Diceros bicornis minor: one gene and its partner. Each later gene encodes a partner of the first gene's protein in a complex. Links are inferred from orthologs where the notes say so. Each region holds a gene or a part of one and is shown in the gene's direction. Other genes may lie near its edges.

What was found.
Region 2: ITPR1 (region 1) and CNN1 share a complex: the UniProt entries of both Homo sapiens proteins name them as parts of the cGMP kinase signaling complex. The link is inferred for Diceros bicornis minor from reciprocal best matches to the Homo sapiens genes ITPR1 and CNN1.

The regions. Positions count from the first base shown.
Region 1 is NC_080741.1:75,254,208-75,269,867, reverse strand, and holds the start of ITPR1 (inositol 1,4,5-trisphosphate receptor type 1), read left to right. Parts: upstream 1-8,626; 5' UTR 8,627-8,767; intron 8,768-9,552; 5' UTR 9,553-9,628; intron 9,629-15,660. UniProt on the Homo sapiens protein: Inositol 1,4,5-trisphosphate-gated calcium channel that, upon inositol 1,4,5-trisphosphate binding, mediates calcium release from the endoplasmic reticulum (ER).
Region 2 is NC_080769.1:7,986,054-8,000,814, reverse strand, and holds CNN1 (calponin-1), read left to right. Parts: upstream 1-7,023; 5' UTR 7,024-7,092; coding exon 7,093-7,155; intron 7,156-9,119; coding exon 9,120-9,241; intron 9,242-11,216; coding exon 11,217-11,283; intron 11,284-11,377; coding exon 11,378-11,515; intron 11,516-11,697; coding exon 11,698-11,808; intron 11,809-12,276; coding exon 12,277-12,423; intron 12,424-12,504; coding exon 12,505-12,750; 3' UTR 12,751-13,257; downstream 13,258-14,761. UniProt on the Homo sapiens protein: Thin filament-associated protein that is implicated in the regulation and modulation of smooth muscle contraction. It is capable of binding to actin, calmodulin and tropomyosin. The interaction of calponin with actin inhibits the actomyosin Mg-ATPase activity.

The DNA.
Region 1 (15,660 bases):
CCAAATCTGCCAACTCTCTTTGCTATTGTGTGCTCTATGGATGCCAGCATTTGCCAAATACACATCTTTATCAGGGTGTCCCATCCTACGAGCAAAAAGTTTCCTACACTTCCTGAACAGGCTTCTTCTCTACAGGGGAATGATAGAAATCCATGATTTCTTTCCCCATAAAATAGACTTTTAAGGTAAACTCTACTGTTTCCTCATTTCCCTAAGATTTTTCTGCTTCTACTACATTTTAAATGAGATTGTGACACAAAATAAGATTTATAATTTAATGGCTACAATTGATCAAACTTTAATTCCTTGCTGATTAAGAGTTATTTCATGAAACACATGAAAAGTTTCTCTTGTTCCTTTACTCGGTAGTATGGATTGACACTTTAACAAGTGCCACTCCATTGCTTTGAAACATTGTTCCAAAGTAGGTTACCATTATAAGTAGTCTTTTTTTTCATTTTCTTTTTAATATTGGTGCCTCTTCCCATGTGATAATGTGCTGAAAATAATTGAAGTGGAAGAGAAATAAAGGCTAATTTAATCTGAGAACCTAATTTCTAATACTGATTTGGGTTGAGCCTGTACACACTCTTCTTTTTCTTCTTTTTTTAAAGCAAGGGCAATAAACAATACATAGATTTTGTAATAGCAGCTTTTCTTTGTGCGTGTGAGGAAGATCAGCCCTGAGCTAACATCCATGCTAATCCTCCTCTTTTTGTTTGCTGAGGAAGACTGGCTCTGAGCTAACATCTATTGCCAATCCTCCTCCTGTTTTTTTCCCCCAAAGCCCCAGTAGATAGTTGTATGTCATAGTTGCACATCCTCCTAGTTGCTGCATGTGGGACGTGGCCTCAGCATAGCCGGAGAAGCGGTGTCTCGGCGCACGCCCGGGATCCAGTAGCGGAGCGTGCACGCTTAACCGCTAAGCCACGGGGCCGGCCCTCTAACAGAAGCTTTTAATCCTACTTCTTGAACTAAGTGAACTTTTCCAAAGCAGATGAACTTAAACATTTTGCTTTTTCTGAAGATCAAATGATCATTCAATAATGCACAAGTTAAAAACAATTAGCAAATTCTTACCTGAAACATTTTTTTGGGAAGACCAGGTTTACTTGTTAGCTACATGGAAATCTTTTTATTGAGCCTTATTATAATGTTTTCTCATTCAGGTATAAAACAATATATTCAGAAATTTAGAAAGACCTTGCTTTTCCCATGAGTGAGATTCTTTTGGAAATAATAATCTTTCTCTTTTAAATAGTTTCATTTATTTTTGATCATAAGAGTACTATACGCTTATTTAATTTTTTTCTCTAATGAACACTGATCTTTACAGAATCGCTCATTTTCTCCAGGGATAGCTAATTTCATCTGTCTCTGCATGGTATTTCAGGTGTTGAGTGAGACTTAGACTGCCTTTATAATAGATGCACTTTCTGTTTCCTCCTTCTTTTCCTCCTAAGAGGTAGCACAGTTATAAATGTAAATAAAGAGCTTGTTTGAGGGAAAGTTGAGTAGAGAAACTACTCAGAAGAAGCTACTTCCCTCCTTCATTTGCTATATTATATTCAATATAAATGTTTTAATGACAAAGGATCATTTTGATAACGTGTATCTTTAATGGAGAAACATTCCAGTGTGAACCGTCAGGTGCCTGGATCGTGGTGAAGTAATTAAGGAATACCAGAGGACCTGGGCAGCATCTAGGTTATTTCCTAGGTCACAGCTGTTAGAGCTGCAAGAAATTACTGGAAAGAAGAAACAATGAAGGAAACGGAATGAAAGACCAGCTGAGGACTACAAACTATGATTAAAAAGCAGCCAATCTTCCTATTTGTTACCATCTAAACACCACATTTGAAATTCTCTGGAAGGAAGGTAGTGATTAAGAAAAAGGCAGACAGCAAAAGCACATTGCATTCTACTCCTTCTACTCTTTGCCATTCTCCCCAGTGCCCAGCACAGAGTGCCTGGCAGAATATGTAGTTACCCATTAAATATCAGTGTAATATTGACAGCCAGGCACTAAGCAACCAAAAAATGGTCCTGTATAGATCCCTCTACCCTACTCCCCACCCCTCCAACCCCACTTCCCTGGCAGACCCTACTTAACTGATCTGTTTCATGAAGGATTAACCTCAAACTCTCCATCTGGGTTGAACTCATGATACAGGTTACTCATATCCTAAAACTACATTTAGAGGGAAAACTACTTTAAATCTGGGAACAGAATTAAGTGGGAACAAAAGGAAGCAGTTACTTTGCTTGAGACTGGACAAACTGATATAGCATGAGAAGTGAAAAAGTTACCAGTTCTACTTGATCAGTAACTGAATTAAGTAGAATCCAGTGCCTGGTTTAGTGACTAGCTCTATTGATGATTAAATAACTTTCCTAGGAGAAACAGAAAATGAAGCCTATAAAAATTCTCAAGTTTCCCACTTCCGTTTTCTCATGTATAATTCCATTTGCTTTTCTGGTTGACTTGAAAAGACCCTACTTTAGGGAACATCTAAGGACAAGGGTATTCTCCTACATAACTACAATACCATAATCACACCTAAGTATTAGTAATGCCACAATTTTCTTTTATAGTCTAGATCCAAATTTTTCTAATTGCTGAACAATGTCTTCTAGAGATTTATTTTTAATTTCTTTCAATCCTGGATCCAATAAAGGGTCACATGTTGCATTTACTTGTAATGTTTGTTTTAGTCTTTTTAAATCTAGATAGTCCTCCTGCCATTTTTTTTTCATGACACTGATCTATTTGAAGAGTCCAGGCCAATGGTCTTGTGGAATGCCCCAAATTCTGGGTTTGTTTGATTGTTTCCTCAAACATTTTTGGCAAGAATATTTCATATGTGATGTTGTGTACTTCTTATAGAATCATATCAGGATGCAAATAGTGTCTGATTGTTCCAGGATTGTTGATGGTAAATTTGATCACTTGGTTATTGTGGGCGATTGCCATATTTCTTCATTGTATAGGTCTGTTTTCCACTTCATAATTAGTGGGTAATGTGCGGGGTGATGAATATCTTGTTCCCCATCAACCTTTTGCCCAGGGGATTTGGCGTCTATTGATACTTTTGTCTAAATAAATTATTACACTGGAAGCTGCAATATGGTGATTTTCTAATTTTATTATTCCTTCTACATGTATTAGCTGAATTCTTCTGTAAAGAAGAGCTTTCTGTTTTTCTGTTGATAAACAGATTTCCTTTCAGTTCAAACACTAGGATAAGATAATGAGGCCTTTCCCAAGGTTTCTTCAAATCCTCACATCTAGCTCAGCTACCAGAGCAATTTAAGATGACAGTCTTGCAGATGTGAGGCAGGAAACTGGGGAAAATGTCTGAGTTGATAATACACCCCTGGTTCTGCCTGTTTCACAGGAAGATAATGTGTAAGAAAGTAATAGTGCTCTTTATTTGCTTACATGGTTCTAGACAATGTTGGCAGCAATCATTAGAGATAGTGTAGCTGTCACTTCCATATGGTATAAACTGGTAGTAACTGCTTAATTTTTGCATTCTTCTGTAGCTAACATGCTGCCTTCTGGATCTTAAATCCTTGACAATTTGCCCATGTTCCCTCCACGTGCAAGGTTACTGACCAGCAGTCTCTTCTAAACTCCAGAGATAGGACAACGAACATAAGGCCTCTCCCTGTTCATGCCTTCTCTTAGCCTCCCAGGATGCCCAGAGCCTCAGCTCAGGAAAAACATTTTACTTTTCCTAGCTCTACACCACACTGGTGTCTCTCCTGCTCTTGTCCAAACACCACCTGCACTTTTCCATCTCAAGTAGGGCTGCTATGAGACTGTGGGTCATTTCTTCTGGCCACCCTTGGGGTTCCAAGGGTGAATTAGCCAGTAAATGCTGTGCATCTACTCTCTACCCAGAGCGGAGCTAAATGCTACAAAGCGTACACAAATATAGAACTCCTCAAAGAGTTTATCTGGTTGAAGAGACAGACTCACAGAATTCAGCTAAAAGATATTCTAGTCTTTCAGGAGTGTCTATGAACAAGTTTTGGGAGGTTGGTACAAGAAATTCCAAGAACTGGTGCTAAAATTGTGAGTATCTGTGTTGTGCTGGGGCAAATGTCCATAGGTTTTATAAGATTCTCAGTGGGCTATGATTCCCTCCCTCCACCACAAAAAGTTCACAATGACCAAGAGCGACTAGTTGGAAACTGGCTACACAGTAGCTATTTCTCTTTACTGATAGTTCTCATGTTCCAGGGCATATATAGGAAACACATCACACCAAAAAATAGATTGAATTCTCTGACTTCAGTGTTGGTCATTCTGTCTTGCCACTTAAGAGTGATTTGGAGAAGCTGTCAATTAAAGTAGTCAAGGCTCATTGTGACATTCATAGGTAATTAAAATCTTTTACCCAGGAGAAAATTGGGACTAGCGCTGCCCCAATAATCTGAAGTTTGGTCTGGAGCTGAGTACTAGACCATGACATATCAACGTTTTCTCCATGCTTGTTGGTGATGTTCTCTCACTTTGGTATAACTAGGGTAAGCTTGCAAAGTCGTTTCATGTCCAATGACTCATTTGATCTGGTCAGGTTGGCAGGGCAAGGATTATTCGCTTTGCTCTATCAAAAAACAGCCTCTGTAAGGTTAGATGACCGGCCACGGTTACATAGATATTAAGGTTGCAGCTGGGTGTCAAACCCACATTTTCTGATCCCTGCTTTCTCCAGCATATCTTGCTGTCTTAATCAGGACAGCATTTGAGGGTGGGATTCTAGGCAGATTAATTCAGTTGCAGTTTTCAGCTGTATACTGCTGATGAAAACCTGTTTCTATTTGTAGGGTTTCCCTGGGGGGTAGGCTGGTGTGCTAGTTTTGGACGTTCTTCAGAATTCTGCTTAGTCTATGATACTATCCTGACTCTGCAAAGCCCTCCTAATTCCCTGCATAGGCATTTCAAGGGCAAAGTCATAAATGGCAATTTTCAGGGCTAGTTGTCATCTTGAATTGGATCTCGAGAATCAGATTCTTGGTTTTCTAGACTAGTGCTGTCCAACAGCATGTAATATGAGCCACACATGTAATTTTTAATATCGTAGTAGTACATTAAATGAGTAAAAAGAAGCAAATGAAATTAATTTAATAATATATTTTAATTCAATATATCCAAAATATTATCATTTCAACATGTGATCAATATAAAAATTATTCATGAGATATTTTGATTTTTTTTGTACTAAGTCTTTGAAATTCAAAATGTATTTTATACCTGCTTCACATCCTAGTTAGAGCTAGCTACATCTTAAGTGCCTAAATGGCTAGTGGCTACTGTATTGGAAAGCACAGGTCTAGAAAATTCTTCCAGGAAAAGAAATACAGTGAAGAAAAAGAAGCCCCCTTCCCTCTATTGATAATGGAGAATGAGTTGGGTAGTGGCTTTTCTTTTTTGTGTGTGAGGAAGATTAGCCCTGAGCTAACATCTGTTGCCAATCTCCTCTTTTGGCTGAGGAAGATTGGCCCTGGGCTAACATCCGTGCCCAGCTTCCTCTACTTTATATGGGACACCGCCACAGCATGGCTTGATAAGTGGTGTGTGGGTCCACACCCTGGATTTGAACCTGCAAACTCTGGGCCGTCGTAGTGGAGCACACAAACTTAACCGCTGCACCACTGGGCCGGCCCCAGTAGTGGCCCTTTTATTATGATATACTTCATCATCAATCATCAATCATACATCATCATAGAGAACCTCTTAGCCTCATAGCAAATTTAGCAAAACTACTTTCTAGTGACCCAGTAGCTTCCAGAACGTGGTGCCAGTTGCAAAATGTTGAATAGGACCATTAACACACATACGTGGAAGAAACAGTCTATTATGCGATTGGGTTATAAGGCTTGTGTGCTCAAAAAATATGTTCATCTAGCCTGCCATATGCCTGACACACCTTCTATTAAAACACTTTTTTCTAACAAATTTTTTTTTATGTATCTATTAAAATGTGCACACAGAAGTCTAGGGCCTGCTGGGCTGGGGCAGGTAGGAACTACAAGCATGAATAAAACATAGTTCCTGCCTTCAATGAAACTTGTGGTCTGGGAGGGAAGACAGTGGCTAAAACAGTTAAGGGTCAAGTGTCCACTGCATGGTGAAGACGAAAATCACCAAACTCCAGCTCTCAAACAGGACCAAGTTTTCTTCAGAAAACACACGTTAAAATTCCATTGTTTTTCTGAATTAGGAGCAAGTGAAATAATTACCCTTTAGTATTTACCAGTTATATTGGCATAGACTTAGTTGTTGAATTTGTTTGAAAAGTAGAGCCAAAAACCCTTTAGAAGTGGAACAGATTGTTTTCATGAGGGAAAAGAAGAGAGGGGACAGCTGGGAAAGGTGTGGACTCCTTTGTTGTGACAGGATGGGGAAATTTCTTGATGATGGGGAGTGGTAGCTTGAGGCATTAGGTAGAAGGCTCTAGTGCCCTGTGACTAGGGGATAATGCTGAAGAGAAGAGGGGCAAGAGTGAACAGAATGAACACAAACTTTGTCTACTTCACAGCTTTGCTCATTCCTGGACTGGTATTAAATGCTTATATGAGCAAATAAATACAATGCATACATTGACACTGGGGAAGCAGCGGAAGGGAGGGTAGTAGTTAAGGTCCAGAGTTCGGGAGTCAGGCAGCCCAGCATCCTGTGCGACTATGGGAAGTTACTTAACCTCTCTGTGCCTCAGTTTTCTCATAAGTAAAAAAATGGTTCGTTATAGGATTTGATGAGATAATGTACATTAAGAGCTTAGGATAACGGCTGGCACGTGGTGTGTACCCCATAAACATAATTATTATTAGTTTTGGCACTAATTATTACATCAGTAATAATTATTAGCTGTGGTGCGCCCCTCATTTGCTCCTGAAGTTTCACAGGCAATCCTGATAGCAAGTAGGATGACAGGAGACAAATGCTCCTGATTGTCTCCCTCTACAATGGCAAAACTGGGGCAACGAGATGAAAATGACTTGCCCAAGGGCTCAGAGGCCACTCCTAAAATGGGGAGGGAGGCCATTTAAGGCAGTGGCAATGGGTTTCCCCAAAGACAAGGGTTTAGAACACTCATAGGCTGGAATTAGAATCCAGGCTGCACCACTTAATTCACGGTGTCATCTCCAGAAGTTACCCGATTGCTCTGAGCCCTCAGCTGTTCACCTGTCAAACAAGGATAATAAATATGCCTAGGGTGGTTAAAACTCAATAGCATGAAAAATGTATGTGGTCTGGGCTTAATAAAATCAGCCTCCCCAGTTACCGTTATTACTATTGTTGTTATAGCAGATCCTACGCAGAGTCAGGCAGTGCCTGCCTGACATGCTGTGCTGGGTTTTGGCTCACCACTGTGGCCCAGAGCCTGGCATAGTGCTTGGCATCCAGTAGACACTTAGGAAACGTTTGTGGAATGAATGCACATCATCTGAGGCAGGGAGGGCAGCCGGCTGACTTGGCCTCGGAGCTTAGCTCTCGCTCTCCTTCCAAAAACAAGAGCCTGAAGCAGCTTGTAGCCCGAGAGCCCAGGCACTAGTTAGCAGTGAGCTGAACCCACCTTCAGTCCCTGAAGCTCCTGTCGGAGCTGCTGGAGGGCCCCCCCGTTTGGACACGCATCTTTGTGTAAGCGGCTCTCTCCGAAGCCCTTGTTTTTCTGGTTTGCGGTTTATTTACTTAAGCATTTACAGCTCCCGGGAGCAGAGGGGCTGCTTGAAGCAGGGTCAGGACCGAGGTCGCGGTCTCTATTTATTTTCTGTCTCCCAATCTCAGCGCTGGCAAGTAACAACACGGCTCCTTTATCTGTGCACCGGAGAGGCTTGCGTTTCTTTACCTCCTGCGGGGCGAAGAAGGACGCACGGAGTTCGGATACAGAAAAGTGTTCTCAAGCCACTTGCCTGTGTCCCCGCTTGCGTGGACCGTCGCTCCCACACTTAGTTTTCTGTGCAAACCAGAGCAAGGCAGAGCAGATTAAATAAAGACAACCTCGCGCCTTTAATCCTTGACCGCAAACACTGGCGTTTTTGTGCCCTGGATTTCTGAAATTCTTGGCTCCGGGACTCAAGGCGGGGGGAGGGTGGGTACAGCTTGTAAAAACTTCCCAAAGCACAAATCCGAGCTCCTCCCTGCCCCTCGCTCCCAGTGATACCTGGATTCAAAGGAAAAGGGGCAGCCAGAGGAGGAGCGTCCCCAGAGGCTGGGGGCGCCCCCCAGGGGTGGCTTTCGATCACGGGCTCCAAGCCAGGCCAGCTACCCCTGAAGACGCGGGTTTGAAGCCCAGACGCCCCGCGCGACGCCCCTCCTTCATCCCCGCGAGCCGTCTATTTAGAGCCCAGCCCGGGAGCCCAGGGGATTCTGGGACTTGTAGTCCTCCCCTGCAGCCCCAGGCGCCGCCACGACCTCAGACTTGGACTACATTGCCCAGGGAGCTTCCCGGCCTATATAAGCAGCGAGGAGCGGCTTCAAAGTGCAGTAAGCATGTGGATGTGCTGCTGAAGCGTTTCCTCAGTCTTGCTGGGGTGGGAGGAAAGGAGGAGGAGGTGGTGGTGGAGGAGGAGGAGGAGGAGGGAGAGGCAGAGGGTGGAGAGAGAGAAAGCGCACGCCGAGAGGAGGTGTGGGTGTTCCGCTTCCATCCTAACGGAACGAGCTCCCTCTTCGCCGACATGGGATTACCGAGCGGCTGCTAACCCCTCTCCTCGCCCTGCTCCCCCAAACCGGCGTGGCTCCCCGGGCACCAAGGTAGCGGCTGGGGCTGGGCAGAGGGCGCGGGGAGTTGGTACTGCACCCCCGGGCGCAGAAGTTTTTGCCCCACTCTCTGGGAGTTCTTGGTGGATTTGCATGCACTTGCATGCATTTGGGGGTTCTTTTACTGTGGGCATTTGGGGGGGGTTCATTTCAGGTAAAAAAATTCTCGACTCCAGTGATTGGCTTTGAGGGCTACCCATTCTAGACTGGAATGGCATTCCCTCAAGTTGGAAACTTGCAGCAACTGCAGGAAATAGTTTTTTTTTGGGGGGGGAGATTGTGGGGGTGTCATATGTGAGTCCGTTCAAGGAAACAGTCTTTCTTAAAATGTAGCCCTCCCTCGAGCTGCATGGTTGGGAAAATAATGCATGTGTGGGGGCCCCAGTGGGGACGGTTTTAAAAAAACGGAAGAAAACCCGGGGAGCGGTGAGGGATGAAGTGTGGACGAAGCTCACGCCCAGTGAGGATGCGGGCTTCGGATACTTGGCCTCCGCTCCGGGAAATAAGTGCTTTGGGATCTGCCAAAGACTTCCCTTAGTTCCAGCTCCCCGGCACGTTCGAAGTTTGTGCGTGCCTCGTCTCACTTGTCAGTTACATGCTGGAAATAAGGAAGCGAAGTTACCTGTAATCTTTGCCCAAGTGATCCGACCCACCTGCCTGTCAAATTTAGGGGGAAGGCTTCTCCAGGAAGGAGGCTAAAGAAGGTGGAAGCATGGAATTTGGAGCATTTCTATTAGGGAACCTTCGCGGTCTCATAGTCTTTCTTTCTAAATACTTAGGAGCTGATTACAGAGGAGCAGGATTCGCACCCCTGGCTTGGCGTGTTTTGGCAGCAGAGTGCCTGACCTGGGTCAGGTGAGTGTGGAAGCCTGAGTGCTGTAGTCAATAATGAGTTTTTGTCCTAAGCCTACTTTAAGTGCTCTCTAAAGAGCCATGGAGATGGGGAGTAGGAAGGAAAAGGAAACTCAATGGTTCAGTCTCCAAAATTTGTCACTGCCTTTGGTGAGGGCTTTTGGGAGCAGAGGAGATCCAAGGGGCAGTCCTACCTTGCACTTTTGGCCATGGCTCGGAATTGAAGCAGAGTGAAGATTTATGAGAGGAGGGGAAAAAAGCCATTAAATAAAAAGGATGCCCATTGGTGGCCTGAGAATTGAACTTGCCAGGCAGCATGTTGATGATTTAAATTCTGAAGGATGCAGTGCATTTCATCTGCCAAGATATGTAAGCAAAAATTAACTGCCTCTCTCTTTCAAAAATAGTCACTTTCTTTTTTCTTACTGTCAATGTGTGTTTAATCAGAGTAGGTTGGATTGCAAGAAATGAAAGTGATTGCTGGTTAATTGAAAGAATTAGAACTTTAGAAAGGGAAGTCAGTTCTTCAAGCATAAGTTAGTAGCATCCAGCCCTTGACTTGAAGCCACTTGGATGTCAAGGAATCTGATAGGTCCCTGTTGTTTAGGTACCTGTAGTGGGATATGACCTGAGGGCAGCATTTTCTGTGAACACAAGCAGCTCCTATTTTTTTCCCCAAAATGGTCAGACTGCACTGCAAGAAAGGGAGGTTTTAACGGGTGCTCGTACATCCCCATTGCTGCAGATTTGGTCATCAAAAGTTTTTTCTTCCGAAATGGTTAGGAACAGGGTAAACAACAGGGTAACGGGTGAGGGACTGGGCCTTGGTAACTTCTTAAACATTCTAAATATTTAGCTGTTCCCTGGGCTACAATGTTTGGGCTTTTCTAATTAAAAAATGAGAGTCAGACACTTCATTATAGTAGTATAGTCCTTTTGTTTCCTGTTGATAAGATCCTCAGGAGTGCTGGTGGAGTGGGAAGCATTTGAATGTATGAGGTCTGGTTCCTTCTTGGAGTTCTATTGACTCCCATGGCTCCATGGGCACTCAAAAGGCCAAGGATTGGGTTCAGTTCCCCTCCTCTCAGTAAGCTGTAGCCAAGGAGAGACTGTTCCACAGACTCTTCTCCAACTGGTTGCTAAAAATAATAATACTGACACATTAAGGACTTGTAAGTCAGATCTAGAGCCATATATCATGGAAACCCTGTGAGTCAGGTACAGGTGAAGAAACTGAGGTGCAAAGAGTGAAATCTCTTACCCAGTAGCTAGTACACAGTGGAAGCAAGGTATAACCCCAGGCTGTGGGGCTCTCCTGTCCTGTGTCCCACAGATGCATCTAAGTTGGGGGGTGGGAAATGGTGAGGGAGAAGCTAGGAAAAATGGTAAACTTATTGCTGTTGATGAAATAACTCTTGCTTATGTCCCACCAATGATGCATGAACAATACTTATCTTGATGTAAGAAGGAAATAATTTTGCTCTGACATAGGGATGAAAGAGTGTGGATGTTTGAGGAGGTGTTAGGTGTTGTACTGAGTTTGTTTTGGAAAGCTGTATGCTGAAAGTCTGAATGAGGAGAGTAAAAGAAACCAAACCAAACCACAAGGAACATTAAGTTCAGCATTAGATTCATCTCATACCTGAAATCCATCTTGATCATCTACATCAAGGCATCTGAGCAGGTTGAAAGAATGAGGCGTTTCTCCATCTGAATAATTCGAAAGTTTAAATTACAGTGAGTCTGAACTGTGAAATGTTATCTTTTCATATATCCTTCAGTTTGCTTTGTGGCCACTTGTGCAGAACGCTTTTCTTTTTCATTTCTTTCTTTCGTGTGTGTGAGTTGAAAGTACAATCTGTTCTTTGAATAATTCAAATCAAAACAGACTATCCTATCAAAATTTCCTTCTTATCGGACAGGGAAAGTTCTTCATGCTGTAAATGAATTACTACTGGCCTCCACTTTGAGACCCGTGAAAGTTGTTTGAGGTTGACAATGGTATCATCCATTTCAACAGAGTGGTTGCCATTTGGAGGGAATTGGCATCTTCACTTTAGGAATGAGAGATGGAATGGTTGCTTAGAGGAAAAGAAATAGATGAACTCAACAAGATGGATCTGTTGCCTTTTTCCTAAAAGTATTTTCAACTGAAGAAGACTAGGATATTAGAGAGAGAGAAAAGAAACTTCTAATCCAATGGTATACAACCAGCTTACTTCCAGAGAAAAAAATCACATGGCTTTTTAGCTCATTTATAATGTTCTCATGGAAACTCTGATTTCTTTACAAGCAGCTCTTAAAAAACAAACCAAAATGAAACAACAAACACCAAATATGAACAACAGGAAAAAAAAAAAAAGGTTGGGCTGGAGTTAGGTTTCTAGGTCAAGCTGTCCTTGGATACATCTAATTAAGGAGTCCACACAAGGCCACTGTCCCATCTTGTTGGCTGTTGGCTTGATCTTTTAAAATAAAATGCATTGCATTTGCAGGCTCTATATTAACTGGAAGTACATGTGATTTTTAGTTCACTTTTGCTGTTTTAAGTTTTTGCATGGCTCTTTTGGTGAAATCAATTAAGGCTTGAAGTCAGTGACATGAATGACATAATTTCTGTGATTCCTACCAATTGTCATGGTGTCTGTGATTCTGAGGTTATTGCTGATGAGGATGAAGTGAAAAAAGCACTGAAACCATCACCTATTGAGCTAGTCCTTATGTTGAACTAGATCCGGATTCTTCCCTAAACTAGACATACTTTAAGGCATTTGGCGTGATAAATCTATTCAAGAAGTTCTAATACCTGTTAAAGTTATGATCCAAGTGTTTATTCCTTCATTCAAAAGTTTCTTGAGCACTCGCTATGTGCCAGGGTGTGTTCTAGGTGCTGGGGCTACATTGGTGAAAGACCTGCTCTCAAGAGGCTTATATCCCAGTTGTGGGAGGCAGCCAATATAAATAAGCAAGTATTATGGTATGACAGGTAGTAAGTACTATGGAGATGAATAAAGCAGAGTAAGGGGGAACAGAAAATAACAAGTGTTGGTGAGGATGTGGCAAAATTGGAACCCTTCTGCACTGGCGATGGGAATGTATAATGGTGCAGCCACTATGGAAAACTCTATGGTGGAGCCTCAAAAAATTAAATGTAGAATTACCAGATGATCTGGCAATTCCACTTCTGGGTATGTACCCCAAAGAATTGAAAGCAGGGACTTGAACAAGTATTTGTACACTCATGTTCATAGCAGCATTATTCACAGTAGGCAAAAGGTGGAAACAATCCCAATGTCCATCAACACGTGAATGGATAAACAAAATGTGAATATCGATACAATAGAATATTATTCAGCCTTAAAAAGGAATGAGATTCTGATATGTGCTGCAACATGGATCAAGCTTGAAAACATTAGGCTAAGTGAAATAAGCCAGATACAAAAGGATAAGTAATACATGATTCCACTTATATGGGGTCTCTAGAGCAGTCAAGTTCACAGAGACAAAAAGTAGAATGGTGATTGCCAGGGGTTAGGGGTGGGGGAATGGGGAATTTGTTTAATGGGTACAGAGTTTCATTTTGCACAGCGTGGTGAATGTACTTAATGGCACTGAATTATACACTTAAAAATGGTTAAAATGGTAAATTCTATGTTATATATGTATATTTTACCACAATAGAAAAAAAGAAATAAAATGACAACAACAAGAGAACAGGGTAAAGGGGATAAGGGAGCACTCAGGTAGGGATCGGGAATCGGGGAAAAGTCTTTAATCTGGTTCCTTTAAGCAGAGATCTGAAGGAAGTGAGTGGTTAACCATGTAGATATCTGGGGGAAAGGATGTTCTGAAGGGCCAGAGCAGCAAGTGCAAAGGCCCTGAGATGGGAGCAGGACAACCTGTTTTGAGGCAAGGAGGCCAGGGTGGCTGCAGCTGAGGGAGAGTGCTAGGCATTCAGGTGCGAGAGGGCGTCAGGGTCAAATTGTGTGGGGGCCAGGTTGTTGCAGGTAAGCAATGACTTATTTCCCTGAGAATTTCTAAACCCGCACTGAATTCTCAGTGTGATTCTCAACATCACTGAACCCCATTGTCCTTTCTGAAGAGACTGGTGAAGCTGGCAAAATCACATACCAGATTGGAACTTGATGGGGGGTAAAACCCAGATTTCTAGACTGTCTGGTTAATCACTTGACTTACCTGCGATTGTAATTCACTTCCATAGGAAGGGAATCTTCTTTGATAAATAGATGAACCTTCAGTTGGTTTGAACAACAAATTGTAAGAACCTAATGGTATTCCTGGGGGTTTATCTTTAACACAAACCTTCTGCACCCTGCTGCCACCCTGTAGTCTGTCCAGTCCCATTTTAAGGAATTACGCAAGGAGGACTCATGCTCTGCTTTCTAGCATCATCCTTGGGGAATATGAAGTTCCACATTAATGATCTCCCCAATTAGTGAAGTGGACCCCTTTACATGTACAAACTTATAAAAACATACATTTTGTTACTTATTACGTAAGATATACGTATTCAATTATAGTAAAACATTAGGAAATAAAGATAAGCAACAAAACCAGTCACCCCCAATCCCACCATCCAAGATTAGGGTTCCAGACTTCCTGTGTATATATAAAATATATATATAAAAATTATATGTATATTTAAATTTCATAAAAAGGGACTCATACAATACCTCCTGTTTGGTACCTTGCCTTTTGCACTCTCGCGAACGTCTTTTCTTCTTAATAGACATCTGTGTCTTCATTTTTCCAAAGGTGGCCATACCTTGGATGGGATTTCATTTGAGTGATGATATGTATGGAATCACAAGAGTAAAAAAAAACTACATCATTCAAGTTTCATCACCATCGTAGAGTCCAGGTTTTCTCATTCAGTTTATACTGTTTTTTTAAGAAAACTAAATGGAAGGTAAAGCACTCCTCAGAGGTTAGCTATCTTAGTACAGGGATAAAGCCTAGCAACCATTCATTTAAATAGAGAATTTCTCCTTTGTTCTTCCAAGTAACCTAATCTGGTGAGGGAGGGAGGGCCAAGTGTTCTTTTCTGTTTGTTTGCACTAAAAGGACAACTTTACTATGGAAAATTTGTGTACATGTAATAGTAGAGATCTTAGTGTAATGAGCCCCTCTTTACTCATCACCCACCCTCCATGGTTATCAGTTCCTGACTGATCTTGTTTCATCTATATTCTTATGCACTCTCCCCTCGCGTCTTTGATGACCTTGAAGCAAATCCCAGACATACCAGTTCATCTGTATTTTAGTATGTATCTCTAGTATTGGGATTCTTTTTTTAAAAAATAATCACCATACTATTATCCATCTCAAGAAAAAACAAATTTTTTTATTGAGTCTGTCTTAACACTTAAAAATACATATAATAATATATATATATATAAGCATATTTATCAGTTTGTTTGAATTAGGATCCCCCCAAAAATTACAAATGGTTGATGTGTTTTTTAAATTTTATTTATTTATTGTTTTCCCCCAAAGCCCCAGTAGATAGTTGTATGTCATAGATGCACATCCTCCTAGTTGTTGTATGTGGGACGCGGCCTCAGCATGGCCGGAGAAGCGGTGCGTCGGTGTGCGCCCGGGATCCGAACCCGGGCAGTGGAGCGCGTGCACTCAACTGCTAAGCCGTGGGGCCGGCCCTGATGTGTTTTTTAATCTGTATATTTCCTCTATACCTCTTTTTTCCATGCATTTTTTGGTTATTATTGAAGAAACTAGGTGATATATTTTCCCACAGTTTGGATTTTGCTGGCTACATCAGTGTGGTTAGTTGAACATGTTTCTCTGTCCCCAAATTGCCATAATTTGGTAGTTAGATGTAGAGGCTTGATTGGAGTCAGGCTCTGTTTTTTTTTTTTTGGTCAAGTCTATTTTGTGAACTTCACTCAGAGGAGTGTATGATATGTCTGGATATGTCTTCTTGTGATATTAGCAGCCATTGATGCTCATTGCCTCAATCCGTTAGTTCATTTGGAGTTGCAAAATTCCTGATTCTA
Region 2 (14,761 bases), on another chromosome or scaffold:
GTGCGCGCCCGGGATCCGAACCAGGGCCGCCAGCAGCGGAGCGCGCACACTTAACCCCTAAGCCACGGGGCCGGCCCTAAGAATTTTTTAAAAAGAAATATTTTATAGCTTGAACTGCATGACGATTACGTGGCTATATGTATGTAAAAATTCGTTGAGCTCTCCATTGAGATTTGTGCATTTGAGTAATATCTCAATTTAAAAGTTTTTAAAAGTTATCATGGATTCATTGAGCTATAATTTGTACACTCGTCTATATGTATGATATACTTTAAAAGTCTATTTAAACACTCTGCTTCCATTAGGATGGCCATTATCAACAAAATAGAATCTAACAATTATTAGCGAGGATGTGAAGAAAGTGGAACTCTTGTACATTGCTCGTGGGAATGTAAACTGGTTCAGCCACTGTAGAAAACAGCACGGCATTCCTCAAGAAATTAAAAATGGAGTTACCATATGATTCAGCAATTCCACTTCTGGGTAGATACCCAAGAGAACTGAAATCAGGGACTCGAACAGATAGGTCCACACCATGTTTATAGCAGTTGGATTCACAATAGCCAAAGCAACTGAAGTGTCTGTCGACAGATGAACAGGTAAATAAAATGTGGTATAGACATACAATGGAATATTATGCAGCCTTAAAGAGGAAGGAAATTCTGATACAGCCTACAGCATGGATTGAGGACGTTGTGCTAAATGAAATAAACCAGTCACAAAAAGACAAACACTATATGATTCCACTTACATGAGGTCCCTAGAGGAATCACATTCATAGAGACAGAAAGTAGAATGGTGGGTGCCGGGTGCTGGGGGAGGGGGATGGGGGGTTAGTGTTTAATGGGGACGGAATTTCAGTCTTGGAAAATGAAAAAAGTTCTGAAGACGGATGATGGTGATGGTTACACAGCAACGTGAATGTTCTTAATACCACAGAACTGTACATTTAAAAATGGTGCATTTTATGTTATATATTTCACCACAATATTTTTAAAAGTCTCCTTACAAAGAGATGAGTAATGTAGACAGAAATGAAGCAGAGAAAGGGAGGAGGTGCTAGAGGGGTTTACAGTTTGAAATCAGCTATTCCAGGAAGATCTCACTGAGCAGGTGACCTTTGTGTCAAGGAGGTGAGTGAAGCCTCTGGAAGTTCGGGGAACACTTTGGCACAAGGAGCAACTGCGAAGGCCCTGTGTGGCTAGAGTGGAGTGAATTGAGGGGAATGTGATAAGAGATTAGGTCACAGCGGAAGGCGGGGCTCATGGGCTCCCCCAGAAAGCCCCGGTTTTAGGCTGTTAATAACCTAAGTGGATTAGCACATAAAACTGGTGCTTGGCAGTAGCAGAGCGCCAGGCGAGGATGGTTATCCGCCCCCATAAAGCCATTTCTGCAGCCCCTTGGCCTCCATGACGCACGGCGCCTGCACGCGGACAGAAAGACACACGCAGCTCCCTTAGGATACCTCAACGGCTCTGCGCAGCCGCAGCACATCTGCCTCAGCAAGATTCCTGTGATTGGCCGATCTGAGAGGCGCCGCAGCCAATCAGCGGCCGGTCCAGGAGGGCTTGCGCACCCCTCCCCAGAATGTTGACAGCCACCGTGGGCAGCGGCTGGGCGCGCTACCGCCCTCTGCCCGGCGTGCCAGCTACGCGCAGGCGCATTTCGCTCTGCTCAGCTGCAGCGTGTGTGGCAGGTGGTGGGGTCGCTGACCTGGCTGCCACCGTCAGAGTCCCCAGTATCCCCTCTTGGGGGCAGTCACGGCCTCTATTTTCCTCTTGCAGAAGTAGTGGATTCAAACACACGTATTTACTTTTTTCTTTTTTTAATTTAACCGAACACAAAAGTATGTGTGAAGCCCTGATGTAAACCTTTTAGCACACAATCCTCAAAACAATCCTAGGAAAAAGAGCAGCTTCACAGTGGAGGATCCTGGCAGACGACACCTTAAGCAAGAGGCCAAGGTTAACATCACCAGCAATGAGTCATAGTGACATCACAGTGACATCATAAGCCCCTGATATGAGAAGGCAACATCACCTCTCTGGTATCCTTCCCAGGAAGGCCAAAACCTCAATCCAATCAAGACAAACCAAATTGAGAGGCAGTTGACAAAATTACTGACTTTTACTCTTCAAAAATGTCAAGGCATGTAAAACTGAGGGACTGTCACAGACTAGAGGAGTAAGGAACCATGTCAACTAAATGCAATGAGGGATCTTGGATTGGGTCCTGGGACAGAAAAAAGACATGAGTAGAAAAGCTGGAGAAATCCAGATCCAGTCTGTAGTTTATTAATAGTAGTGTCCCAAAGTTAATTTCTTGATTTGATAAATGTACTATGGTTATGTAAGATGTTTACAGTAGGGGCAACAGGGTATATGGGAATTCTCTCTGCTATTTTTGCAACTTTTCTGTAAGTCTAAAAATTATCTCAAAATAAAAAGTTAAAAACAAAGAAACCTGGGAAGCAGGCACTATTGATATGCCCATTTTTCTAGACGAGGCAACTGAGGCACAGAGAGGTTAAGACACTTGTCCAAGGTCACACAGCCAGGAAGCACCAGGGCATAGTCCCATGGAATATGGATCCGGAGCCCCCACTCTTAACCTCAGCACCACAGTGCCTTTATTTAATTGAAACAAAGGGCTGCATATTCTGCCTTCATCTTTGTCTTTCTCACTTGTTCCCTGTTGATGGATCTGTACGGTGACTTGTTATTAAAAGGCCGCTGCAATAAATGTTCTTGCACATGTCATTCTTCAGAATTACACGTGTACTTCTTAGGAATATTCTAAAGAGATTTGCTGGTTCAGAAGGTGTATTAGATAGACAGGTTCTCCAGAGGAATGGAACCAATAGAATATATATATGGAGAGAGGGAGAGAGAGAAAGAGATTAATTTATTACAAGGAACTGGCTCATGTGATTATGGAAGCTGAGAAGTCCAAGATCGATAGTTGGCAAGTTGGAGACCCAGGAGAGCAGGTGATGGAGTTCCAGTCGGAGTGTGAAGGCCTGAGAACCGGGATAGCCAACGGTGTAAGTTCCAGTCCAAGAGCTGGCACGCTGGAGACCCAAGAAAAGTTGTTGTTTAAGTTCCAGTCTGAAGGCAGGAAAAGACTGATGTCCCAGCTCAAGGCAGTCAGGCAGGAATTCCCTCTACTCAATGGAGGGTCAGCCTTTTTGTCCTATTCAGGCCTTCAACTGATTGGATACGACCCACCCACATTGGGGAGGACAATCTGTTTTACTCAGTCTACCTTTATGAGTATGTTATCTCATTCAAAAACACCCTCACAGACACATCTAGAATAATTGACCAAATATCTGGGCATCCCGTACCCCAATCAAGTTGACACATAAAATTAACCAGGAGAAAAGGTAGGGACATTTGTCATTTAAAGCTATGGACAAATTGCCCACACCCATCAACAATGCTCCCACAGCCTCCCCAGCACTGTGTCGTCAGATGTTCTGATTTTTGCCGATCTGGAAGTCATCTGTCCACTCTTTTTAAAAAGCTCTTGTTCAACTAGATGTTTTTCCTATAAAGCACCTTCTTGCAAAGCTCAAGGCTGGACAAGGGAGTGGGCAGCTGTAGAATGGCCTGGAATAACCCCAGCCACAGCCTGTGACCCAACCCCTTCTCCACCCTCCAATTGTTCTTCTGGGGAGGGTGGGAATGGAAACACAATGGGGACCCCCACCTCAACTGCCCTCAGTCCAGGAGGTGCTGGGGAATTATGTCCTTCCTTTGTGCGGAATTAAGCATCAACATTTCAGAGAGACGTGGGTTTGAGTCCTGGCTCACCCACTCTTATTCCATTGACTCAGTGAACATTTTTTGAGCGCTTGCTGTGTGCAGGCACTGTACTGGGCAGTGGGGATACAGCAGTGAACCAAACAGGCAAAGCCCTGCCTCGTGGAGTTTCTGTTCTCGAAGGATAAGACAGATAATAGGCATATAGGGGCTTTTAAAATGAAAGTTTTTATGGAGGGAGACATACCCACTGTGAGGTGCAAACTCTTAAGTGAACAGCTCCCGCATGCCCATTCTCTCACAGTCAGTCTGGGGGTGGAGGATGCTGTTATTTGAGCAGAGAAAGGGAGGGAAAGGCCAGGCAGACATCTTGCAGAAATGTGTCTAGGCAGAAGGGACTGCCAGTGCAAAGGTCCTGAGGTAGAAGCGTGCTTGAGCATTCAAGAAACATGTTGAAGAATCTGGGAGCAGCAAGAGCAGCGTCACCCTGAGAGAATGGCCCGGCCTCTCTGATCCTTGAGTTTCCTTATCTATAAAATGGGCCTAAGAGTTTCCACCCCCAGAGTGCAGTGGTGAGGATTAAATGAGATTGTGCCTGGCATGGAGAGAGCCTTCCAGAAACAACTTTGAAACGTTTATGAACAACAGCCTCTGCCTGTTTTGGGGAGGAGAAAGATAAGTGAGGAGGGGGCTGGCAGGGCGGGGCTGCTAAGATAGGCAGGCACAGGGGGACGGGGGCTGGCACTCCCTGCTGGGGACACACAGGTACAGAGTTGTGTGTGTTTCTGTGTGTGTTCTGGGAGTCAGGAAGGTTTTAGGGGTCTCCCAAGGATGAGGAGAGGCAGGGACAGTCTTTCTTTCCTGACAGTCCTGTTCCTTGCAAGATCTCACTCATTCAGATGGGAAACTGAGGCACCGAGGGGCTGGGGCCAGGGAAACGTCACATAGGAGCTGAGTAGGGGACTGCACCCCAGACAGCCAGTGATGGGGGCGTTCCCTGGGGTGGGGACCTCGATGGCATCAGCCCCCTCTCTCCGCCTTTACCCCCATCTACCAGACAGAGACACGGAGACAGAAACAGTACAGAGACATCGAGAGAGAAAAACGGTGACTCAGAGACGTGAAACAGAAACAGAGACACAGAGATGGAGAGATAACGGAGAGAAGAGACATGGGGACAAAGAGAGAGACAGTGAGACAGGCAGATTCAGAGAGACAAAGGCTGGGACAGAAAAAGCCTGGTGACACAGACAGACGGACAGAGAACGACCCAGAAACAGCCAGAGATAGAGACGCACACCCAGAAAGGGCTGCCCTCCAGGGAGACCCCGGGCTGCCCCGTCGGGGGCCGCCAAGAGCTCCCCGCCCCGCCCGCGTCGTGCCTGGGCCGTGACTTCAGAGCCCGCGCGGATTCTATAAATGGCCAAGCGGCGCGGCCGGGGGCGGGGCCGAGTGAGTCAGCGCGTGACGTCACTGCCGCCGGGACCCCCGCCAGGCCCCGCCCCCGCCCCGCCCCTCCTGGGCCGCCAGGGGGCGCCGGCCGCGGGGCGCCAGTCTGCACATGCGCAGTAGCGACCTTGGGCCGCCGAGGGCCGCTTAGCGTGGGCAGGAGCCCGGAATTCGTGCGTTCGAATCCTGGCTCCGCCACCGTCGCGCTCTGTGACTCTGGGCAGTCGGCTTCACCCCTCTGTGCCTCATTTCGACCTCACTTCATAGGCTGTTGTGAGGAATGAGTTAACAGATCCAAAGCACTTAGTACAGAGCAGGAGCTAATGGTTAGCTCATTTTATGTATTTTAGTGTATTTTCAACATATTTTACACCATCAACTTGTCCTTAGTTGCCTTAGCGCAGTCGTTCTCAAATGGGGGAGATCTGCCCTCCTTCCCTGGCCCTCTGGCCCCCGGGGACACTTGGCAATATCTGGAGGTACTTCTGTTTGTCAAGACTAAGTTGGGGGTGCTACTGGCATTTAGTAGGTAGAGGCTGGGGATGCTGCTTAAATTCCTACAATGCCCAGGACAGCCCCCCACCACGAAGAATTATCCAACCCCGACGTTGAGAAACCCTGCCTTAGCCTCAGAGCATTAGGGGCACAGGCCTGGGTTCCAATTCTGCTCTGCCCCTGGTGAGCTGTGTGATACTGGGAAAGCAATCCACAGCCCCGTGCCTCAGTTTTCCCATCTGTAAAGTTTGTATATTAACTGTGTCCGCTTCTGAGGGTGTTGTGAGGATTGGACTGATATATGTAATGCCTGGAACAGGGACCGACATAGGGCTGCTGTCATATTAGCATATGAAAGCTGTGCCCTAAGCATGTGGCCCACAAACTGTGTGTCCTTAACATATGAGTGTATGGCAGGTTGCTGATATGTCACCGAGTGTCACTAACATGGCCTTGACATATGTGCATGATGCGGGCATGTCATCCACCCCTGTGCTCCAGGGGTGAGATCTGGCCGGGCAGGGCTGCTTGTGGGGGTTTCCTCCAGGCCAGTGTGGCTGGGACAGGGACATCGGGGGGTGTCCATGGCCTGCAAGCTGCTAACGCAGTCACCCTGCGACTCAGGCAACCCACAGGTGGACGGAGAGGGTGAGATCCAGGATCTCTGCTCCCTCAGGTCCTTATGAGGGGCTGGAGGGGACAGAAGTGGGGTGCCAGATTCCGAGCAGAAATACTGCTATTCCCTGAGTCCTGCCCTGTGCCAGGCACTGGATATGGGAGGCATTATTTCTTCTGACCCTCCTAACACCCTCAGGAGACGGGCAGTATCATGAGTCCATTTTACAGATGTGCCAACAGAGGCTCAGAGAGGGGAAGGGACTTGCCTACAGTGATAGATGGTTGGTGTCTTGAGTTAAACTCAGGCTGGTGCTGGCTACACCACCACGGGGGGCAGTCCTGCCGCAAGACTGGAGAAAGATGACCTCAGAGACATGGCGAGATGGCCAGAGAGAGACACAAAGAGACTTGGAGACCCAGCCAGAGGCCCAGTGAACAGTAGGGGGTGCGGGGGGAGTGGGGAAAGGTTGGTCTCTGTCTGGCCAAGCCCCCCCCCCAAAAGAATAACCCAGGCCGCCCCCCTAGGTGGAAACAATGACACAATCAGCTCCCAATACCAAGGCCCTGACATCAGAGGGGGGTGGCCGAGGTGGGGGGGCGCCCCGCCCCTTGGCAGGCCCCTGTGGCCAATGGGACGGCCCTGGAAGAGGCCCGGGCCGCCTCCAGAGCTTCAAAAACTTGTGAGGAGGGAAGAGGGTGCAGACGGAGCCCCAGCCGCTGCCGAGGTCCTCAGCGCCACTGCCACCGCTGCCCACCACCGGCCAGCATGTCCTCTGCTCACTTCAACCGAGGCCCCGCCTACGGGCTGTCTGCTGAGGTCAAGAACAAGGTAGGGCTGGGGCCACATGCCCTGCCAGGCCAGAGGCCCTGCTCTTGGGATTCCTGGGGCCCTCCTGCCTATCCCCTGTGGCCTGGAACCTGAGAGGGAAGAGGGACAAGTGTGGGGTTGGGGCTGCCTTCCTCCCCCTCCTGAGCATCCCAGAGCCCTCAGCTACTGTTAGGGGGTACAATGAGGGGCATGCAGGCAGCCACAGGTCAACTGAGGTGGTCGGTCCATTTTGAAGACCCCACTTGATCAGAGGCCCCTGTTAACCCTTTGTGTTCCTAGGGGGCTGGGGATGGACTTGATTCTCCACCCCCCTAGCCTGACAAAGAAATTGGGGAGTCTTGGAGAGCTGGGGTTCCTGCGAGGCAAGGCTCAGAAAGTGTGGGAGATTGTGAAGGGAGAGGGAGACAGTTGGGGAGGGCAGAGAGCAGGACACGACAGGGGTCTCCTAATTTTGGAGTTTGGAAGACACTGGGACACCACCTTCATGCTATGGATGGGTAAACTGAGGTTTAGAGAGGGGAGGCAAGTAATTAGGGTCCTACATGTGGTAGGTGCAGAGCTGGGACCCTGGACTCGCCCCCCCACACACCAGAATGGGGTCAGCTTCTCCAGGGCAGCCCACTTGAAGTCCCCAACCCGCTGGAATGCTCCCCTGAGCGCTGACAGAGATGAAGCACCAGCCCCATTTGACAGAGGGGAACACTGAGGCTCAGGGTGGCTTTTCCCAGGGTCCCACAGCGAGGAGGTGGGGAGCTGGGATCAGAACCTGAGTCGGGGGACCCTCGGGGCTGGCGGAGGGGGCAGGTGGGGGGCGGGTGCTCGGGCCGGAGACAGATCGCCGCGCCGCCCCCCCTTCCCCCCCAGCGCCGGCCCCAGAGCCGAGCGGAGCCGCCGCGCCATATAAGGCGGCCTCGGGGAGCCCGGCCCGCGGGGCCGCGCTATATAAGGGCCGGTTTGCTTTATAAAGCCGGGCTGGTCGGGAGGGGGCGGCAGGGCCCGGGCCAGGTGAGGGGGCCGCCCCCTCCCACCACCCCCTCCCCCAGAAGAAGGGGCAGCCCGGTTCCCCAGGGGCCGGGAGCCTGTCTGGGCTGGGGAGGAGGGTTCTGGAGAAACGGAGGGGGACGAAGTGGGGAGGGGAGGGGAGGGGAGGGAGGGGGAGAGACGCAGACAGAGATTCTGGGAGCCGGAGACAGGAGAGAGACGGATGGGGGAGGGCCAGCCAGGAGCCAGATAAGACTGAGACAGGGATGGAGAGGCAGCGAGGGGCGACAGACGAGCCCCACCCCCACCCGAGGCAGGGAACCTGGAGTCGGGGACGGAGACAGACCTACAGAGGCAGAGATGGACGAGCCTGCGCCCACCCCCGGCCAGACGCGGAGGGATGGGGACGGAAGGCAGGGCCAAGGAAAGACAGACAGAGCTGGGGAGAGAGACGCAGAAATACAGACGCAAGCGGCCAGGAGGAAGACATAAGCCCCCACCCCCAGCCAGAGCCCGAGGCCGAGGCCGGGAGATGAGGACCTGGAGAGACGCTGACACAGACAGAGATGCAAGACAGAGCTGTCCCCTGCAAGGCGACATTCAAGGGCGCCTCCTTAGGTCTCCTCCTCCTCTGCCTGAGGCGTCCGGCAGGGGGGTGGAGGGGGCAGGGCCAGGGCAAGTAAGCCCCAAGTTTGGCCTGGAGGGGGAACCGGGAGGCCAGGCGCCACCTCCCAGCTCTAAGTGTCCCGCTTTCCACCCCCCTCGTCCTCAGTCTCTGGTGCCAAACCTCAGAATGCCCGGAATGGCCCCCTGGGCAGGTGCCACCTCAGCCCTGGGCCCCCCCCATGGACGCTGGGGCAGAATTGCCTTAGTTGGGAAGGGATGAGGAACAGGCCCTAGGGAGCCGCGGATTGGGCCCGGGGAGCCAAGCCTGCTCCCCACTGTGTCCTCACCACCCTCTCTATGCACCCCCCATCCACCAGCTGGCCCAGAAGTATGACCACCAGCGGGAGCAGGAACTTCGAGAGTGGATCGAGGGGGTGACAGGACGCCGCATTGGCAACAACTTCATGGACGGCCTCAAAGATGGCATCATTCTTTGCGAGTGAGTGGGGCAGACTGCCCTGGCCTGCCCCTCAACCTGGGCACTCATCTCTACCCCCTCAACCCCTCCAATGACCATGAGCTCAGAGCTGGGTTGGGCACTTCATATCTGAGACCTGGAAACAGTCTTCAGAGGTGGCAAATAATCATTGTGCCCATTTGACAGGAAAGAAAACTGAGGCCCAATTAGGTAAAACCCATCGCCCAAGTCCCGTGCTGTTCCAGTGGAAATAACTCCAGATCTAGAATGTGAATCACCACACAGACAGGGCAGGCCCAATCATGGCCTCCAGGGTCCCAAGAAAGGGAGGTCACGGCTACAAAGCAATGGGCAACAGTGGCTGTCCATCGCTCGCTGGTGACATGAGGGACGTGCCATGGTAACTGAAGTAGGTCTCGACTTTCTACTCCTCTCAGAACGTAAATCACGGAGGGAGACGTAAACCCTCACAGCTCCCAAGCTCCGATTCCAGAGTCTGACCCAGGGCAGGGTGACCTGCGGGCCAGAGTGTGCCCTGGGAAGCTTGCAGAAGGCGTGGCCTTGCCAAACCCTAGGTGCTGGAAAGTTGGAGCGAGAGGGGGTATGTCTTATTCTACCACATCCAATGGGAACAAGGAATAGGGGACGCCCTGGTGTCCCAGCTCAGACAAGGCTGCTCCGGCCTTGAAGAGGGCAGAGCCAGCCACCCACTCAGTCCTCCAAACAAGCATTTACGAGCTCCTGCTGTGTGCCAGTTTTAGGCACTGGGGGTATCGAACACACAGCTTTAGTCCTAGTGCGGGAAGTGGATCAGATAATCGATGAAACAGTCACATACCTGCCTGGGGTGGGAAGGGACACGGAGAAGAGGAGCTGGGGAGGATGGGAGGGCCGAGTGGGGTGAAGGGTTGCTGCTTGTATAGAATGGTCTAGAAAGGTAACATGTGAGCAGAATCTTGGATGAAGTGAGGGAGGGAGCTGGGAGGGCATCTGAGGGAAGAGTGGACCAGGCAGGGGGGCCAGCCAGTGCAAAGGCCCTGAGGTGGGAGCATGCCTGGTATGTTCATGGGACAGCGAGGAGGCCAGCGTGGCCGGCACCGAGTGAGGTAGGGGAAGTGGAGGGGGCCAGATGAGGTGGGGCCTTTTAATCATGCTAACAATTAGGCTTTTATTCTGAAGGCAGTGGGAAACCATAGGAGAGTTCTGACCTGGGAAGTTACTTGTTTTGAAAAGGCCATTTTAGCTGCGAGATGAAGAAGGGTTTGTAGGGGACGAGGTGGAAGCCGGGAGCCCACAGGGAGGCCACTTCAAGAGCCCAGGAGAGAGACGCTGGGGGCTCAGAGCAGGCTGGAGGTGGCGAGGAGCCAGCCGTGGGCTTCTGGAAGTCTTCAGGAGGCAGAGCCAGAGCACTGGCTGAGGGACTGGGTGTGGGGTGAGAAAGGGAGAGGAGAGCCAGGAGCAAGTTTGAGGGCTTTGCCTGGGCACCTCGAAGGGTGGGTGGGTTTCCTGAGCTGGAGGTGGGGATGGAGGGAGCTCTGTGGGGAGAGGTGGGTGTCAGCAGTCCGGGGCGGGGAGTCCTTGGGGTACCAAAGGCATTTCAAGTCAAGAGCCTGGATGAGGTCATGGGGGTGAGGGTGGCAGGGAAGTCTCAGGCCTGAGCTGCGGGCTCTCCACGGTGCAGAGGTCCAAGAGGGAAAAGGAGGCTGAACCGTGGTCGCCAGCGAGGCGGGGGCACCGCAGGAGACCCCTACATACCCTGGATGAGAGCCTTTCTGCCCCGAGACCTGAGTCTGGTCCTGGGGTTGGCTTCCCATCTCGGTCCTGCCTGTGTGTGCGGTGGATGGGTGGGCTGCGGCTGAGAGCTGACGGCAGTGGGAAATAGCAAAATGGGTATCGCCCACCGGCTGTCATCCTGAGCCCTTGTCCCGCGCCTGGGCTGGGCATGGGTAGGGAGCACAGGGGTCCCTTTCTCACTCTCCTCCCCCACTCCTCGTAGGTTCATCAATAAACTCCAGCCGGGCTCCGTGAAGAAAGTCAATGAGTCGACCCAAAATTGGCACCAGGTGAGTCCAGGCTCTTTTTTAACTCTTTGAACCCCTGGCCCTCAGACCTCCACCATGTCCCCCCACACACTGACTGCCGCCTGCTCCCCTCCAGCTGGAGAACATCGGCAACTTCATCAAGGCCATCACCAAGTACGGGGTGAAGCCCCACGACATCTTCGAGGCCAACGACCTGTTTGAGAACACCAACCACACCCAGGTGCAGTCCACGCTCCTGGCCCTGGCCAGCATGGTGAGTGGGGGAGGGTGGGCGCCGGGCAGGGGCCGCGGGCGGTCTGGGCCGGGAGGGGAGTGGGGCCGCTCGTGCCCAGGGCCCAGCGTGGGTGGGGGGAGAGTGGGTGCTGCAAAGGGTCTTGAGGGGACGATGCGGCCCAGAGGCTCCCTCGTCAGTCCCCACCCCCTCGCCCTCCCCAGGCCAAGACGAAAGGGAACAAGGTGAACGTGGGCGTAAAGTACGCAGAGAAGCAGGAGCGGAAATTTGAGCCGGAGAAGCTCCGAGAAGGGCGGAACATCATCGGGCTGCAGGTGCCGCCCCTTCCGCGCCCGGCCCACGCTGCTGAGCTGAGGGGGAGGTGGAGGAGGCCGGGAGGGCCCCCTGGTCCCTGAGGGCTTTTGGCGACACGATATTTGGCATTAACTAAGCTATATGCCAGCCGCTGTGCTGCCTCACTCCTCCCGCATTTCTGGGTGGGGGGGGTGGGACTGTTACGATCATACCCTTTATAAAGATGCGGAAACTGAGGCCCGGAGAAGCTAGCTCTCTCGCCAGGATCGACCAGGTGATGAGTAGCCGGGCTGGGACTTGAACCCTGGAAGTCAGGCCCTGGTGCTCAGAGCCACTTACTGGTGGTGTGACACACCCTCTCTGGGCCTGTTTCCAGCCTGTAGCCCAAGGGTGGAAACAGGGCCATGTAGGTGTCCCCAGACATTGGTATATCTCGTGGCTCTTGGTGAGGCTCTGTAACCCCGGGTGGTTCTCCTCTGGCTCCCTAGATGGGCACCAACAAGTTTGCCAGCCAGCAGGGCATGACCGCCTATGGCACCCGGCGCCACCTCTACGACCCCAAGCTGGGCACGGACCAGCCCCTGGACCAGGCCACCATCAGCCTGCAGATGGGCACCAACAAGGGAGCCAGCCAGGTGTGTGGGGGGCTGCGGGGCGGGCTGGCGGGGCCCGTGGCCCTGGCCATCCCCACGGCCTGACCACGCTGCCCCCCGCAGGCGGGCATGACCGCGCCGGGGACCAAGCGGCAGATCTTCGAGCCGGGGCTGGGCATGGAGCACTGCGACACGCTCAACGTCAGCCTGCAGATGGGCAGCAACAAGGGGGCCTCGCAGCGGGGCATGACCGTGTACGGGCTGCCGCGCCAGGTCTACGACCCCAAGTACTGCCTGACGCCCGAGTACCCGGAGCTGGATGAGCCGGCCCCGAACCACCACCTGCACAATTACTACAACTCTGCCTAGGCCCGGGCCTCCCTGCCTTCCCCGGGGAGGCTGGCTGCTGCTCTCGGCAGGGCCCCGCCCGGCCCCGCCAAACCCTCCCCCTGCATGGCGCCCTCCAGCCCGCTGGCACCTGCCACAGGGTTAGCGTTGGGGGGAGCAGCCTGGGGGGTCTGTGCGGGGGGAGGGGCCCTCCTCCCTGGAGCGCCCTCCACAGGGTCCACCATCGAGCCGGGTGTTCCCAACAGCACCCAAAGGACGCACTGAGCAAAGCTACTCCGGCTGTCCCCCCACTCCCTCACAGGTGGGTCCCCCCAGGACGAGAAGCCCCCCAAGCGAAGCCCCCAGAGCCCAGGCTCGGCCTGCCCCCGCCCCATTCCCGCAGTGGGAGCCAACTGCATGCCCAGAGACCCAGCGGACACACGCGGTTTGGTTTCAGCGACTGGCGTACGTGGATGTGACAGCGGCGTTTGTGACGCGAGCACTTTCTTTTTCTATTTCACTGGAGCACAATAAACGGCTGTAAAATCATCCGAGGACCCAGGGCTGCTCTCTTCCAGGGCCTGCGTGGCTCTTGCACACGCGCAAACAGCCTTGCTCAGATACACTCCGTCTCCCGCACGCACGCTCACACGCACCCTGACACACACCCGGAGCTCACAGCCACTCGCTGGACCCAGGGCAGGCACCCACTCCCACCCAAATCCGCACACACGCACCATTACGTGTGTAGGGCGTGCACACGCTCTCTGCAGCCTTAGCCACACAGACGCTGCCCTTTCGCACACATGCAGTACACCCTCGAACATGTACATAAGGTCCACACGCACATGCTCGGCACCCACGTACCTTCCCGGGGAGCCTGTGAGTTGTATTGAGAAACAGCCAGGCTGGCCCGGATGTGAATCACAGTTCTGCTGCTCGCTAGCCGGGTGACCTTGGGCAAGTCACTTCCCTTGCCTAGGCCTGTTTTCCATCAGGAAAATGGGGAGAGCGAGGCTTAAGGGGTCATAGGGAAGCCTAAATGAAATGACGCCTCCAGGTGGGGGATGGCATCTGGCACCGATCAGTGAGAATGGACAGACAGCAAGCCGGGTCCTGGAGGCCCCTGTGGGCAGGGGGAACCCGTGGCCCTGGAGTGGACTGTGGGCAAGTTTGAGGGGACAGGGTAGTGGGCGAGTGGGCACCGCGGGGGCCGAGAGTGACGGCCTTTACTGACCGGCACAGAGCAGTGGAGTAGCTGACAGCGGGGTGCGGCTGCCCTGTGAGCCCAGTTCACTCTCTCCCTTCTCCTTAAGGCTGGTCCCCGAGTCTGGCTTGCCAGCCCAGGCCCCTGGAAGTCTGTGGACAGGGCCCCAACCTCCTCACATTTCAGAGGGGACCCTGTTCTCCCCATGGTGTGGGCCCCAGCCATCCTGCCTGGAAGCCAGCACTGTCAGGGTTCCAAGAAGACGCAGCCATGCGGGGCTCACAGAGCAGGCTTCCCCCCTCCCTCCCTCCCCAGGGCACGAGGCTGGAACACGGGGACCTGCAGAGACACACCAGAAGACTCCCATGCACAGACGCACACGGCCCCCGGGGCCTCGTAAACGGATTCCAGGCGCTCTTGGCCTGGCTACCGCAAGTCCTGCTCCCCCAGGGCCGGGGCGGGGAAGCTATGCCGAGGAGGATCCATGGCTGGCCCCGGGCCCTGGCTCCTCGGAAAACAGCACCATATTAGCACTTGGCCTGGGAGACTGGGGTGGGCGGGCCCTTGATGCCAGAGGAACGAGCCCCCTTTCTGCTGGACCCCGGAGGGCACCCCCCACCCAGGCACCTGTCCACTGCTCTGCCATGTCCTCTGGCTCCTGCCTGGGCCACAGGACCTTATCTGGGGCCTCGGAGGGGCAGGTGGGGAAGCCAGGGAGGGCCACGTCAGGGCAGGGTGGGCCTTGGGGGGCACATGCCAGACCCCGGCTGGGCCTGGTGGCCAGGGCTCCCAGCCAGCTCGGCATCTTCCTCGGCTGTTCACATCCCTCATGCCCCGGGTGGGTGC